3 linked regions of the Arabidopsis thaliana genome follow. The protein of the gene in region 3 interacts with the protein of the main gene of each other region in a pairwise test. Each region holds a gene or a part of one and is shown on either strand. Other genes may lie near its edges.

Region 1 (5,412 bases), on a different chromosome or scaffold from region 3:
TGTGGTTCAATAACGCAAAGGCTATAGCGATGTATGTTTGACGCCTGTACCGCATCAAATTGAGTTTGCATACTCTTTGTAGTCTTCTTGGTTTTGGAATTTAGACCCATTTTAAACAAATTGCCAAATCATCTTCGTTTATTATTATCTCACTCTAAGATTCATGTGAAATTGTAATAAAAACAAAACTTTTATCTGTTACTTCAAAAGACACAAGATTTTCCAAACTTTACTCAAAAAATAAATTTGGCAGAATGATTTAATGAATCACATGAAATAATCATATCAATAACTTTAATTCTTCGATGAGTTTTTTTTTTGGCTATATTTTTCCAAAACTAACAATATTAATAAAAGTTGTATTTTGTCTTCACTAATCAATGCAAAATGTAAACATGCAAGTTTAAATTGATACATGTTCTGTCCAAAGTGTATATATCTTAGCATTTGAGATTTGGAAGTTAAAATTGTACACGTACCACTAAAAAAAAGAAGCACAATTCATGGTACTTTCTCCTAAAATATTTGCTTTATGTTTCTAGTGTTATCAAACAAAGGATGGTTACTAGATCAAACTAATAATATTATTTGATAATTAATTATACTACTCCAAAGTCATACAAAATAAATAATAATACAAGGGGTGACAAATTACAAATACTTGTTTTTTCTTCAATTTGAACACAACTCAACAAGGTCCCACAACTTCCCACTACTACTACTACTAATAAATAACACCCTTCAAGCTCCTTCCTCAACCTCCCACTAAAGTCTTGAAAACAAAAAGTTGCTTTCATCAAAGTCCACCTAAAATAAAGGTACAATGATTACAATAATACTTGATCAATTGAGCTTTTTGACATTTTTTTTCCCTCTACTGCAAATCCTACATTGATTCCATCTACAAAGCCTTTTTCACTTTTTTACCTTTCAAGTGGGTGAGAGAGGAGAGAAGAAACCAGAGTCATTAGAGCAGAAGAAAAACCCATGTTGGACAGTTGGATTAGCTGTACAAACTCTTTATTGCAGAAATCCTACTGTGGAGGATTGTTCTCAGGCTTGACCACTGAAGATGTATCCGGAGGTTGAGAATGGTAAATTGCCATTGCCAATGAGATTGGCATCATACAAAGAGCCTTTGATTGAAGAAGCTGCATCGCGGCTCCAACGTTCTCTTCCATCAGTTTAGCCACTTGACGTTCAGTCCCATCGTTAGACCATTTCTCCCACGCTGGTTGCGGAGTCCTTCCACCCTCACCCGTTTCATCCTATTGACATTTTAAGCAAAATCTGAATCAAAACCCCATTACTAAAGTTTTTACTTTTTGTTCTTAAAAAGTTTTTACCTCAACTGATGATGAAAGAGGCATATCAGTAACAAGTGGAGCAACCGCACCGGCTCCACCAAGTCGGCTCATGCTCAAAACCTACCAAAGTTGACAAAGAGAAACAGATATCATTGAAAGTGATAAGCTTCACCCCATGAAAATTATATATATAAAAAAAGCTTTTACTTTTAGATGAGCATGGAAGATTTCACAAGAAACACATTTTCTATTTTTAAAACAAAAGATGTATTATCTTATCAGAAATCCATCATTGCATTCTGTTTCTTTAGTGTCTCCATTATCTTATAAAGTAAAGAGACTTCCTTTTTTCGCTTGCGAGAGCTTTAAGTAACCGACTGCATTTTGATATAAGAAGCATTTGATGATCTACCAGATTACTATATTATAATGTGAACATGATGATTGTAATTATTGTTGAATATGGTATTATAATCATAAACTGTGATTAGGCTCCCTATGACAAAACAAAAAGTGAAAAGAGACTAAATGCCAAAGAAAACAAAAGCATTTTGGACTTGTTTATTCTTTCCCACATTAAATAACTGATCTAATCAGATTGAAATTTGGTTGAAGGGTAGGTAATGGTGGGACCAGAATTAACACCAAAAATCCATCCAGAGAATTTGAAAGACATGATCTTTAGATCTCTAATCTTATGAACAAACAGATTAAACATATTGCATAGGGAGTAATAAGATAATTCACAAGAAAGAGAGTTCGAGTTTAAAACTGCAGAAGAGAGAAGAATATACCTTGACTTGGAGCCTGAGAAACTTTACATAATCGACAATCTCATCGATCATAGCAGCTCTATCGGTCTGCACACGAAGACGGGAGAAACAGAAAGTGTCAAACTTTCTAGAGAAATTATATACAGGTGAGGGTTAGGGTGAAAGGTACAGACCTTGTTCACAGTAGGTACAAGTTCCTGCAGCGCCCTGATCCGTTCTGCTATTCTTTCTCTACGTAGCTGTGGTAAAGTAAAACAAACTTTTAGGTAATCCCTCCATAAAATCAAGAGATCATTACACAATGTTAACATTTTTTTATATCCGAAACATATTTTCAACTACAACCAACTCGCCACCAACATAGTATATCACAGGGAAATACAAAAGAGAATCTGAAATATACCCGCTCAGCGATGCTATGTGGATCAGTAGCCTGACCACGCCTAGCTCGAACCCTGGGACGGATTGAAGTAGGCTGATGTGGGGCCGATGGAGGTGGCTGTTGCATAGGCTGCCCGTGGAAAACCTTCCAGACAACACACAGAAGAAATAAGACCAAACGAAAATAAACCATTTGCACAAGGATTTGACTCCATTAGTTGTAAGAGAATAATTTAAGTTAGACCCTTAAGATTACTCATTTGACCAACTTAGAAGGCAAGATAAGCCACGCAGCTACATGAACTAGTGAGAAGTTGCTCATAGAGTAACAAGAGCTAACCTTAGTTTACTAAACAAACCAAAATCGATTAGATTCAACAAGTCTGAGCCAAAATAAAGCACATAACGCAAATCATCAACTTTGTTAAAGTTACTTACCACAAATCAAAAACTAAAACAAAAGTTACCAAAAATGTTCTCTTCAAAACCCTCAAATTCGATTTCTTCCCATTTCTAATAATCAAACACCAAAGCAAGAACAGAACTTACAGGTTTCATAGAAGAACATCGATTATCAACAACATCATCTGAGAATCTTTTCCCACTTCCATGTCCTCCTTCAGGTCTAAGAAACCCAGGTCCTTTCCCTTGATCAAGACTTAACCCCAAAGGAAACATCTGATTGTGAAACCCAGTTGGTCCACTTCCTCCTAAGCCACCCATGTGACTTCCTTCTTCTCCGGAACCCAACTGCAGCATCATAGGCGGTGCTCCACCACCTAATCCTCCGTCAACTCCAGATAAACCGGCGGCAGAAGAGGCTGAGAAGTTAGGAAGGCCGAGGATTTGCTCGAAGAAATCATCAGAAGGAGTTTGGTCAGAAAGGTTGTCGTGAGGGTTGTTACTAGCCATGGTTTGAGCTAAAGACAGAGACTTTGACTCGAACGAGTCACTGTGAGTTACGATTAACGAGTTAGGAACCTTCAAAGAGAGATTTACATGCGAAAGCTACAGATTTTTTTAATCTATTTTGGGTTGATGAAATTTTGATGCTTTAAAACGAATGAGGACGAAGAAGACAGAGACGAGAAAGGAGCAGAAGAAAAGTGAAAACTTTATGCTCTGTTTATAAAAAAAATATCCTTTTTGGTAAAAGACCTTACTTTTTCAGATTATTTCGTTTTTGCCATTTTCTTATTTTCCTTCCAGAAACAAAATAAAAATATATAAATGGGCTGGATTTTATATCATATTTGGGTCTTCTTTCTCTTCTTCTAAATATGGGCCTTCAATTCAGTCTTTGTTTTTTTCTTTATGGGTTAAAGTCTTCTTTAGTTTTCCTTATAAATTACGTTAAACCTCTAACAATTAATTTATAGAGGTATTAATTATTAGTAAATTAATAATTAATAATTTCTTTAACATTATTTTTTGCTTATGTTTTAATGTTTACTTGATTTTTTTATTAAAATAGTTTCTTTGTTTTTGTTTATGTTTTTAACTATTATAATAGTTGTAGTCAAACATAATTTAGTAATCTTTTTAATTAATTTTGAAAATATATGATATACTTATAATTGCCACTAGATATTATATAATTTGAATTGATGTATTTGGAAATTGGAAAAATACACTGAGACCAAACATTTGCGATTTTATACGGCCGAAGCGGTCGTTTAGGTGTTACGAAAGTGGAAATGGTGCGTCGTGGAATTGCACTGAAATCATCCCCACATATCTCCTCCCGCCTCTAATAGCTTCTGGTTCTTTCCGTTCTCATATATCTAGCAGATCCACTACCTATCTACCATGACGCCAAGTAGTGACGGTACTGTCCGTCGTACTTATTGCTCTCTATTTTTAGAACATGACGAATGAATTGTAGTTATCTATTATTGTATCCCTCCTAATTCTAATTAATGTATTCAACTATTAGAATGTATTGAAAAAATCGCTTATTTTTCTGTTTGTAAGTTAAATTTTCCTATATCACTTATTGAGATGTTTACATAATTCAAAAACGTCACATAATTATCTTGCGAGATATAATCAAATTCGAGATATGCGCTAAGCAAACAAGCTCCAAATAAAGTATTTCAAATTCAAAAGAGACAATTTAGTTTCCTAGAAAATGTTTTCTCTCTTCTATCACAATTCAGGTTGATTCCCAAGCTTGTCGATATGGAAGATTCTGTTTGCTAGCTTATCAATCTCAGCGACTCCTCTCTCTAATTTGAGTCTACACCAACAAAAACTAAAGGGTTCACATCATTATGCCTAAATGGAGCTCATTTATAAAGGAACAACTTGTGCTTAAGGAGGTAATTCTCAGACCAAACACGAACATCCAACATAAGAAGTAATAAAAGCTAAGAAAAACAGTTATTTACAAAAATCAATAAATAAAACAAGTTTTGTTTTGGATGAAAAAAAAAAAAAAAAAAAAACAAGTTTTGTTTTGATAATATATTAACACAAAAAAAATCAGTTAATCAACTTAATAGTTTAATATATTAATTATTATCCCTTTAAGAATTTTTTTTTCTAATGCCCTTTTCATGATGCCCTTTTTCAACTTTACCCTTTTGTTTTATCCAATTTTATTTCTACCCTCTTTAAATTTTTAATGACCATTTTACCCTTATTTGGAAATTGTTTTAGGTTAACAAAATGAAAAATTAATATTTTTTCGCCAAAAATATTCCAAAATAAATTTCCCGCCAAAATTTGTTTTCAAACATATTTTTCCCGCCAATTTTTTTTTTTTGGCGGGAAATAGATTTACAAGGGATTTTAAAAGAGTTTTAAAAGATTTACAAGGGATTTTATAGGGGTTTTATAAGATTTACAAGGGATTTTAAAAGGGTAATTTACAATAGATTTTAAAGGGATTTCAAAAATTTACAAAAGTCTTTTAAAGATTTTTAAAGGCTTTAAAATTGTTTTAAAAA
Region 2 (4,550 bases), on a different chromosome or scaffold from region 3:
TTTGGAATTTTCCGATAATTGTTTTTAATTATTTTAAAATATTATGAAATTAAATTCAAATTCGATTTATAAATAAGAATCTTGTATTTATACAACTCGGAAGCTCTAGTTATCGTTATTATTTTCTTTTCTCTCAACCTATTAGAAACTATCACTAGGATCATCAAAATCAAAGATTTATCGAGTAAATCTCCCAAAAACGAATCGACTAGATTTTCTGTTTCCGATCAAAACTATTGTTTTAAGACTTTAAGTAGTCCCATACTAAAAAAAAAAAAAAAAAAAAAAAAGTAGTCCCTTACTACATCAAATTCGTCTTCCTTGACGGCAGTTCTACTGTTTACCTTTCTAACAATTTGATTAGAAAATACTGTTAGATTATTATAAGTGGTTGGTTTGTAACTGAACACGGCTTACACACAGAACAAAAATCAAACTTGAGGTTATAATGAATAACTACATAAACTCACATGTGGCATAATGCATGCTCGAAATAATTTGGGAGAGTGGGATCCATGAGATGCTAATGAGGCTGGGATATTTTAGGACAAATGAAACAGCTGGTTTCCATCTATTAATAACCAGGATCTTTCTTGTCTCCTCTTCCACCTTGTCTTGAAGTTGCATGAGCTGTCCTAGGCCTATCTTTTAACTATGTCCACTCCACTTCACTCATCCTATCCACTTAGCTTATCCCCATTATTAAATGTGTCTCCCTTGGTTTTACTATTTATCTTTATCATATTTTGATTGAAAAATATCGTGAGGTTAGTTTCTAGAAGTTTTACCCGATGACAATCGAAATTGCCAAAACAACAAAAGAAACTGATAAGATATTTTCTCTGTCCAAGTGAATGAGAGTGAATTCCCAATATTTTTAAATGATGTTTGTATTCTTGTTCTCTTTTTTTTTTCATTTAACTGTTATGGGATATGTACGTAATTTTCCGCAATTCTAATGTATACTATAACAATATGATTTTCATGCTTAGACTGCGTTAGAAAGTTCGGTTATAATACTGACAACATTTGTGTGTTCATTGATACTGCGAACATCTTCACAAACATATTGATAAATAATCTCTTCTCTTGCATGAGATTATATTATTTGAGTACATGTACACGTTCTTATTTGCCGAATGTTCTTTGTTGCCACCATAAAGTTTTATTGGGCCAAAACTAATAGAAACCACACATAATCATTTCGTTGTTTTGTGTTTTTGTCAAACAAATCACACATAATTCAACGACAAACTTTCTAATTTGAGCAACCTCTTTATCTCCTTGAAAGTTTCTATGGAGAATTCTACCGATTAGTCGACTCATGACTATTCATCCATTATCACAATTGACAAATCCAGATATTTTGATCAAATATCATTTGATTTTTTTGTTCTATCTCGAAGCAGATACCAGTGTACCATAAGAAAAAAATGCTTCATTAGTCATCTTCAAATCACATGCAAAAATTTGGAAGAAAACTGAAAACAATTTGCATGATAGATCATAATGTTCAAGCAAAAATAAATAAATCCAAATGTGATAAAATGTATAGATATTCACATTGATCTTACTAGTAATATTATATATTTTCTAAAGTTAATTAAAATGTTCTATGTATTTTTTTATATATGAAACACATCATATAAAAGAAAATTGGAATGTAAATTCCAGATCTTGATCCATATAAATATATCAAGATTTATATCGATCAAGATCATATTGGGATCCGTTTTAGACTAATCAAGATTTTACCATTCATATTTCTTGGATATCTGAAATTATAAAGCGCGTCAGAAAATCTTCTACAAGACACTCCCAACATTAAAAAGCCAGAGAAATGATTTGCACACACTCGCTAGTTATATACATACAAAGCATAAAGTTCTGTCACGTGTAAAAGAGCTTGTGAAACATTACAGCAAACCAAACTATTTGACTAAAGATGAAAACAACACCTCTCCCGAGGCTGCATTATTTAGTAAGTCTTCTTTGTTTTTTTCTTTCTTCCAAGATTAAAGAAGACAGACCCAATTATGTAAGGGCAGTCTCTCCTATAAACCTAACTAGTTCATTGGAAAAAACAAGAGAGAAAAAAAAACGATTACTGCTGAGATCTACCATTTCTAAACCTCAACCCATGAATCCTTCTAACAATCCTAAAAAGACAAGGCACCAGAGTCATATGCCTCAAGAAAGAGATGAAACGAAGAAGGAGAAGAAGCTTCTCCACCGCAACATCGAACGACAAAGAAGACAAGAAATGGCGATCCTTTTCGCCTCTCTTCGTAGTCAGCTACCTCTAAAATACATCAAGGTACATATATTTTACTCCAATAGTCTCATTGAAGTCCCAATCTTCCTATCAAGTTCATTGATGGGAGATTTTTGTTCTCTAGGGTTTTAGTTTTCTCAGGCTCTTTCTTCGCAGGGAAAGAGAGCCATGTCAGATCATGTAAACGGAGCAGTAAGTTTCATCAAAGACACGCAAACAAGGATAAAAGATCTCTCCGCAAGAAGAGACGAGCTAAAGCGAGAGATTGGTGACCCTACTAGTCTAACTGGATCCGGATCCGGATCTGGATCAAGTAGATCGGAACCAGCTAGTGTCATGGTGCAACCGTGTGTGAGCGGCTTCGAGGTGGTTGTGAGCAGCTTAGCATCAGGTCTCGAGGCTTGGCCACTCTCAAGAGTTCTTGAAGTTCTTCACGGGCAAGGACTTGAAGTCATCAGCTCTTTAACAGCACGAGTCAACGAGAGGCTCATGTACACTATACAAGTCGAGGTACGGTTACATATTTGGAGTTATTGTAGAGTTTTTTAGTGTAAGCTTATCTATTGTGTAAATATGCTTATTCTTATGTATCCATATATATGATATATCCACAGGTAAATAGCTTTGATTGCTTCGACTTAGCTTGGTTGCAGCAGAAGCTAATTGAGCAGTTAGTACTTTCCACGACTAGGCACTGAAAAAACTAACATTTGTCATAAGAATATGTTCATTGAATGATGCTTTTGTCCCAATCTCTTTGTTTTAGTGTCCGTAAGGGTGTGTTCTTTTGGTCCTTCACTACTTGGAGTGATTTTTTTTTTTTTTTTTGTAAAAATGATCTGGTTGATTAGATTGAATTAGCAAATTCTAAACTTTCATGCATGCTTCTTTATATAGGAGAATCTTTTGATCACCAACAAAACAAAAATATAGTGATGCGCCTGATTTCTTTATACATTTTTGAATATATATATTCATCAATCGATGATAAAGACTAGAGTCTCATCGGTGTCTTTTTATACTTCATATGCATGAACCATAGTTGATAGATATTTTGAACATAGCATACATACACTTCTCTGAGACTTACCAATGAAGATATTTTATGAGAGGAGCATGGTAATGCAGGTTAAATAATGGAGCAGCTGCCATTCAACATTAGTAGATATCTTGTGAGTTTTACTGACTAAATTCGTACGACATTGACCTATAGCTAGGAACAAACACTGATCAAAAGAAACTTTCATTTGATTAACCCGCATATATATTAGTAGATAATATGGCATGCACATAATTTGATTTGACTCACGGTTTTCAAGTTTTCTAATCATGCCATATTTTGTTCATAAATGAAATTACATGACATTACTGAAATATATGGAAAGGAATACTGAAAACGTTTTTTTGGGTTAAGAAGAAGAAGAAAGTACATTCAAATATTCATCTATATTTTATAGTGACGTATATATAACTCTAGGTTTCTTTTGCCTCTTCGGCCTCAACCAGAAGCACTGAAGCACTGAAGCACATAAACAGTATCGCATAACTTCGGTCATATATATTTTGCCGTTGAATAATTTTTCTTAGATTTATGTAAAATTATGGCTTAAATACATCTTAATTATATAAAAATTAGCGAGGATGGCAGTCGAATGTTAAAGCAATAAAGATACGATTGAGTGGTTGAGATCTCCCTAATATACTTTTGATTTAATTATTGTTAGTTAATGGTTAAGTACAAAGATGCTGTCCAACGAATTCATGATCTTCAAATTGGATTATGTTCTAATAAAGACAGCCTAATTAGACCAATACTTAAATCAATTGTTGGTGATGCGTGGTTAAATAATATTCTGATGACAAAAAAACATAATTTTATTTTTTAAAAGTCCCTTTTCCAGAAGAAAAAAAGTTATAAGAAAAAGTTTAGCATATCCGAATTGACTAGTTCTATCTATAATTCAAGTGGATGACCGTAAAGCTTAAAAGAAAATGTCTATGCCCGATCCCTAAATTTCGAATTTATTTATAACAAAAAATTTGGTAAACTATTTATTTATTAATAATAAATTGGTCACATATATTCCGATTTTTAGTTCGAGAAGTACCCTTTTATGAATCTGAAATCCAATTATCGAGGGCACGATTTAAGACAGCTCACCTAATCATAAATAGTGGAAGAAAAAAGCTCTAATCTTACGTATGTATGAGTTTCTGGCTTTAGAAGAGTTAATTAACCTAAAGTTATCTAGTTGAGTGTTGTGTGAGTGTGAGG
Region 3 (4,516 bases):
ACTAAGAGAATTATAAAACAGGTAAGAACTTACCTTCCCCTTCACAATTTGCACAAACTAAACTGTTTGGTTTAGTGCCCTGAGGATTATTGTTTGCGGCCTATTGATACCACAGAATGAGATTTTGCATTAACGAAATGGTCAATGAAGTAAGCAAATTTTATAGAGAAGAGAAGAGTTTGGGAAAATTCTAACCTTAACTTCAAAACTTTGGGATCTTGAAGTCTGAAGCAGTTCTCTCTTCTGTACCAAGGAAGAGGTGTTATCATTAGTTGAGAAGAAGTGAGAAGGTTTAGGGTTTTTGCTTGGAGATTGGAAGCAAAAGGTAGGAGGAGAAGAGAAGAAGCATAGTGAATTCGCCATTTTCTGTTTTCTGATTCTTCTTACCCACTCGATAGCAAAGATAAGATGGCTCCTCTCACTTCTCTTTTTCTCAAGTGCCTATTTTACCAAAATACCATCATATTCTTTATCCAATCCAAACCAAAACCTATTAACCGGTTTTGTCTTTTAAACCCAATTTCACATTTTAGTTTCCATTAGAAAGCTTTTTTCTTAAAAAGAAATTTGATTTTTTTTGTTCTGTTTCTGTGTTTTTAGAATCTTAAGACAAAAGAAAATGACAATGGTTAGAGCTAATTTACTTATTTATCTCAAACGACCCATCAAGGCCATAACTTCCTGATCCTATGAACAACCATCAAAAACAAGAAATAGCCAAGGCCAAACCCACAAGGACATCAGAACGATGTATTAAAAAATACAAAACCAGAGTCCTTCATAAGTTGCCATGTCTTATAACTTGCGTTGCTACTCCATGTGGAGCCGTTCAAGACCTCATTCACTGGCTTTCAGCCGCTCTCCAAGTAGCCGAGAAGACCACGAGTCAGCCGCGCTAGCATACCTTGGACATGGCTTACTCACATTTGAGCTATTAAACATCAAAGGCTGCTGCGCTTGAGTCATTTCTGAGATATCTTGTGTCTGGGGATCAGGTTGTATTGGAAGGACAAGAACTGTTGCAGGAGGATGAAGAGTTGTAGCAGATTGTTGAAAGCCGGGGCCTTGGAAAATGGGAAGTCCTGGGAACTGAGATACACGTTCAGGATGTTGTTGTTGATAATGATGATGATGGTACTCGGGTGCAGGAGAGGTGTTCAAGTCAGGTTTCGACTGATTCGCTCTAGCTTCAATCTCGTTTTGTAGTTTCGAAATCTCAGTCTCAAGCACTGATGTTTCTTCCTTGAGCTCATTCTTCTCTGTGGTTACCTACACACAACACCAGTTTCCATCAACAAGACCATTTAGAAAAATACAAAGATGAAGTAACTTCTTGAAGCAACATTCGTCTTAGTTGTTGATTCACGTCACAGAATACATAAACACAATCAATGTGCATATAGAAATTGACTTACATAGCTAGATTCAGATAGGAGAGAAGCATGCTCCTTTCTAAGAGACTCAATTTGACCAAACACGTCCTTCAAGAATCGAGTAGCTTCGCATAGTATAGAAGCTTTCCCACTGTTCTGTTGATTCAGTTCTGCAACAAAGAAACATGTTCACAGTTAGATATCACAATCACATTCAAAATATCACAACACACTCGAGCAATTGTTCATTCAAATCTACGGAAAGATGAGAAATTTACCAAGAGTATCGGCTAATTCAATGAAAAGCTCATTCAAATGCTCACGCTTAAGCCTCTCACGAACGGCCTTGTTGATCCTTTTCGGTACTTTACCTTTTCTACATCTGTTTTATACACCAAACATAATCAATCCCCATAAATAAAAATAAAAGGTTCCATAATCTATTTCCAAGAATTGTCTCCTTAAGAATCACCTTTCATCTGCAGTAGCATTTGCTTCATCAGACGATGTAGAAGGAGTTTTCGATACCATCTTTGCTTTTATTACAGAACAAGATTCTCTGTCAAGTCACCTAAAATTTAGACATAAGATGATTAATCAAAAAGAACAGTGATCTTAATGAATCTAACAAATCATTCATCTTTATAATCAATCAATCACTCCTAATGTCAAATAAACACAAACGCACCAAGAAACATAGGAGCAGAAAAAAAAAAAAAACTTTCGTGTGATTTTTGATTCCTCAAAAACTGAAGCAAGTGTTTTAGATTCTGTCTTTATTACCCATATTCTTGTCAAATCAAATAGTGAAGAATAATTCTCAAAAATTACGGCTAAGTTCTCAACACAACAGATTCAGAGAAAAGAACTACCTTTCTTTCTCCGGTGAGAATCTCGTCGGAAACTGTAGACGATTAGGATTCGAAACGAGTAGAAGAAATAATAAGAGAATCTGAGAAAATGAAGAGTGAAATTGTTTTTTTTGGAGGAAGAAGGTCCGAAGTTGAGGAGGGCGTGTGGAGGCGCGTGGAGAGCACAGAAGAAGGTGGTGCGTTTAAGTGGACACGTGAGTTCGACATGTGCCTTTCTCTTTTTTACTTTTGTCTTCTTCTCTTACGTTGCGTGCCACTAAAGCTCATCTCTCATGGACACGTCATCGTATCTTTAATTAATAAAATAATAATATTAATCGAGTGGAAGAGTGGTTTAAATCGGGTAAAGTTCTATTAATGGAAATGTTTGTTGAGTGTAAATAACATTGTATTTTCTACAGATTAATCGGGTAAAAAGTTGTACTATCTGTTTAAGAATTTTATCGAGTAGATGAAAAGTAACATTTTCACAAAAATATACCGTAGAACACCAAAAAAAAAAAACAGGGGCATGTGGGGTCAACGTGAAGGATAATAAAGGCATGGAAACGCGCCGTCGAGAGCTGATGACGTGTCTGTCGTGTGTTTCCCACAAACTCTATTTATTGACGGTATGATGATTAGTATACACATTTTTAATGGCATAGTCAAATTCAGTGGGTGAGGAAAAATTGAAGATAGGAAATTAAAAAGAAATAACGAAATTATATTAATCTGCCTATTCCTCTTCTCCTTCATTTTGAATTCAAAAACCGAAATACTATATATAGTTTTGCGGTTCGAATGATGACTGTATTTTGTGATACGGAAAAAGTATGGGACGGTTCAAATAATAACAAAAATACATAGATATATATGTATATATAGAGATTTTTTATACTGTTACAGTTACGGTACGGTTTTGGGGGCGGTCTATGTCACCATTCATACACTGTGATTAAGAAACATACAAAAGGCGTTTTCTTGTTTTTTTATTAAAACTACAATACAGTTACCAATCAATACTTTTAACAAATTTGCGTTTTTCGAAAAAAAAAAGAAAAAAGTTTGCAATTTTGTCCTAAAAACAATACACTGGAATGCTTTTCAAAAGAAGAAAAATCATTTACCTAGTGTTTTTGCTCAAAACCGCATTCCAACAAAAAAATCGTTCATTACTCCATTACTTAAGCAAATTGTTATGTCCTACGTCCCAACCAAAAGTTTCTCAGCCTTTGCCTCTTCCATACACACATCCCTCGTTTATTACTCCATTACTTAAGCAAATTTTAATTTTTTTTCCATTAGCTTCCCCATTTAAATATATGTACAAAAAAAGAGAGTATATGTGTGCATCAGAATCACTAGTTACCTAGTGCATAAAAGAAAAAAATATACGTAGGACATAACAATTTGCTTAACTAATGGACTTTAATATATATATATATATATATATATATATATATATATATATGCAATAATTATAGTTTTATTCTTTTTATTTAATTAAAATCTAAGAAAATGTAATTACAAGAAATAGAAATATCATAATACTTATAGAAATTTTGACAATTATTATCCACTATAAGCTTATATAAGTTCTATAATCAATTTACTAGTAAAAAATTATGATTTTTTTTTCAATTTTTTATGATGAAACTATTCAACGAATTTAATAATATGTATGTTAAACTTTAAAAATGTATATTTTGATTTATTTATGTATTAATAATTTATAAATATATGTTATTGCTTATTTATTAACACAAAAATAATAATTAATTATTAATATATATATATATATATAATTTATAATCCGCACCGCAAATAATTTTTTCATCAATCAAACATTATTCTGTACCGCTTATTTTGTACAAACCATATTTGTCCCGCAAATATATTTTTCTCGCACGTACCGTAATTGAACTGTACTGCAATGTTATACCACTTTTCTCACATATTAAAAACCGAGGTTACCATTCGGACCATAATATATTTTTTCATCAATTGTTTGCATTATAAAAAGAAAAAAAAAAAGAAGAACAAATCGGAGGGTTCAGATTTCAGAAACAAAATACCGAACCGCTAGGTCGTTGGTTTTGCCGGTTCGTTTGCACCGGGATTTTAGAGCTAGACAGGGACCAAATAATTAAGCGGATCGTGGGTATTACCGGTCCGGGTCCGGAAAAACATCTGTTAGAAACTAATCTCGTTTGGCCCAAACCCAAAAAAGCTAGCTTCACGGCGTTTGTTGTTCTTCCTCGCTCTTCGCCGCCTTCACTCGCAGTCGCA

What was found.
Region 1: the proteins of PYE (region 3) and UNE12 interact in a two-hybrid assay, tested with the Arabidopsis thaliana proteins (one large-scale study listed by BioGRID).
Region 2: the proteins of PYE (region 3) and AT5G51790 interact in a two-hybrid assay, tested with the Arabidopsis thaliana proteins (one large-scale study listed by BioGRID).

Annotation. Positions count from the first base shown.
Region 1 is NC_003075.7:1,136,934-1,142,345, forward strand, and holds UNE12 (basic helix-loop-helix (bHLH) DNA-binding superfamily protein), read right to left. Parts: upstream 3,608-5,412; 5' UTR 3,374-3,607; coding exon 3,011-3,373; intron 2,607-3,010; coding exon 2,484-2,606; intron 2,320-2,483; coding exon 2,254-2,319; intron 2,168-2,253; coding exon 2,102-2,167; intron 1,428-2,101; coding exon 1,347-1,427; intron 1,269-1,346; coding exon 1,035-1,268; 3' UTR 554-1,034; downstream 1-553. UniProt on the Arabidopsis thaliana protein: Required for ovule fertilization.
Region 2 is NC_003076.8:21,037,622-21,042,171, forward strand, and holds AT5G51790 (basic helix-loop-helix (bHLH) DNA-binding superfamily protein), read left to right. Parts: upstream 1-1,911; 5' UTR 1,912-1,945; coding exon 1,946-2,317; intron 2,318-2,431; coding exon 2,432-2,785; coding exon of another isoform or gene 2,786-2,824; exon of another isoform or gene 2,825-2,889; coding exon 2,890-2,973; 3' UTR 2,974-3,997; downstream 3,998-4,550.
Region 3 is NC_003074.8:17,565,423-17,569,938, reverse strand, and holds PYE (basic helix-loop-helix (bHLH) DNA-binding superfamily protein), read right to left. Parts: upstream 2,814-4,516; 5' UTR 2,737-2,813; exon of another isoform or gene 2,735-2,736; intron 2,464-2,734; exon of another isoform or gene 2,246-2,463; intron 2,094-2,245; 5' UTR 2,062-2,093; intron 1,945-2,061; 5' UTR 1,905-1,944; coding exon 1,846-1,904; intron 1,756-1,845; coding exon 1,652-1,755; intron 1,544-1,651; coding exon 1,416-1,543; intron 1,270-1,415; coding exon 838-1,269; 3' UTR 554-837; downstream 1-553. Other genes in the region: AT3G47650 (DnaJ/Hsp40 cysteine-rich domain superfamily protein), read right to left, coding at 34-100, 196-363.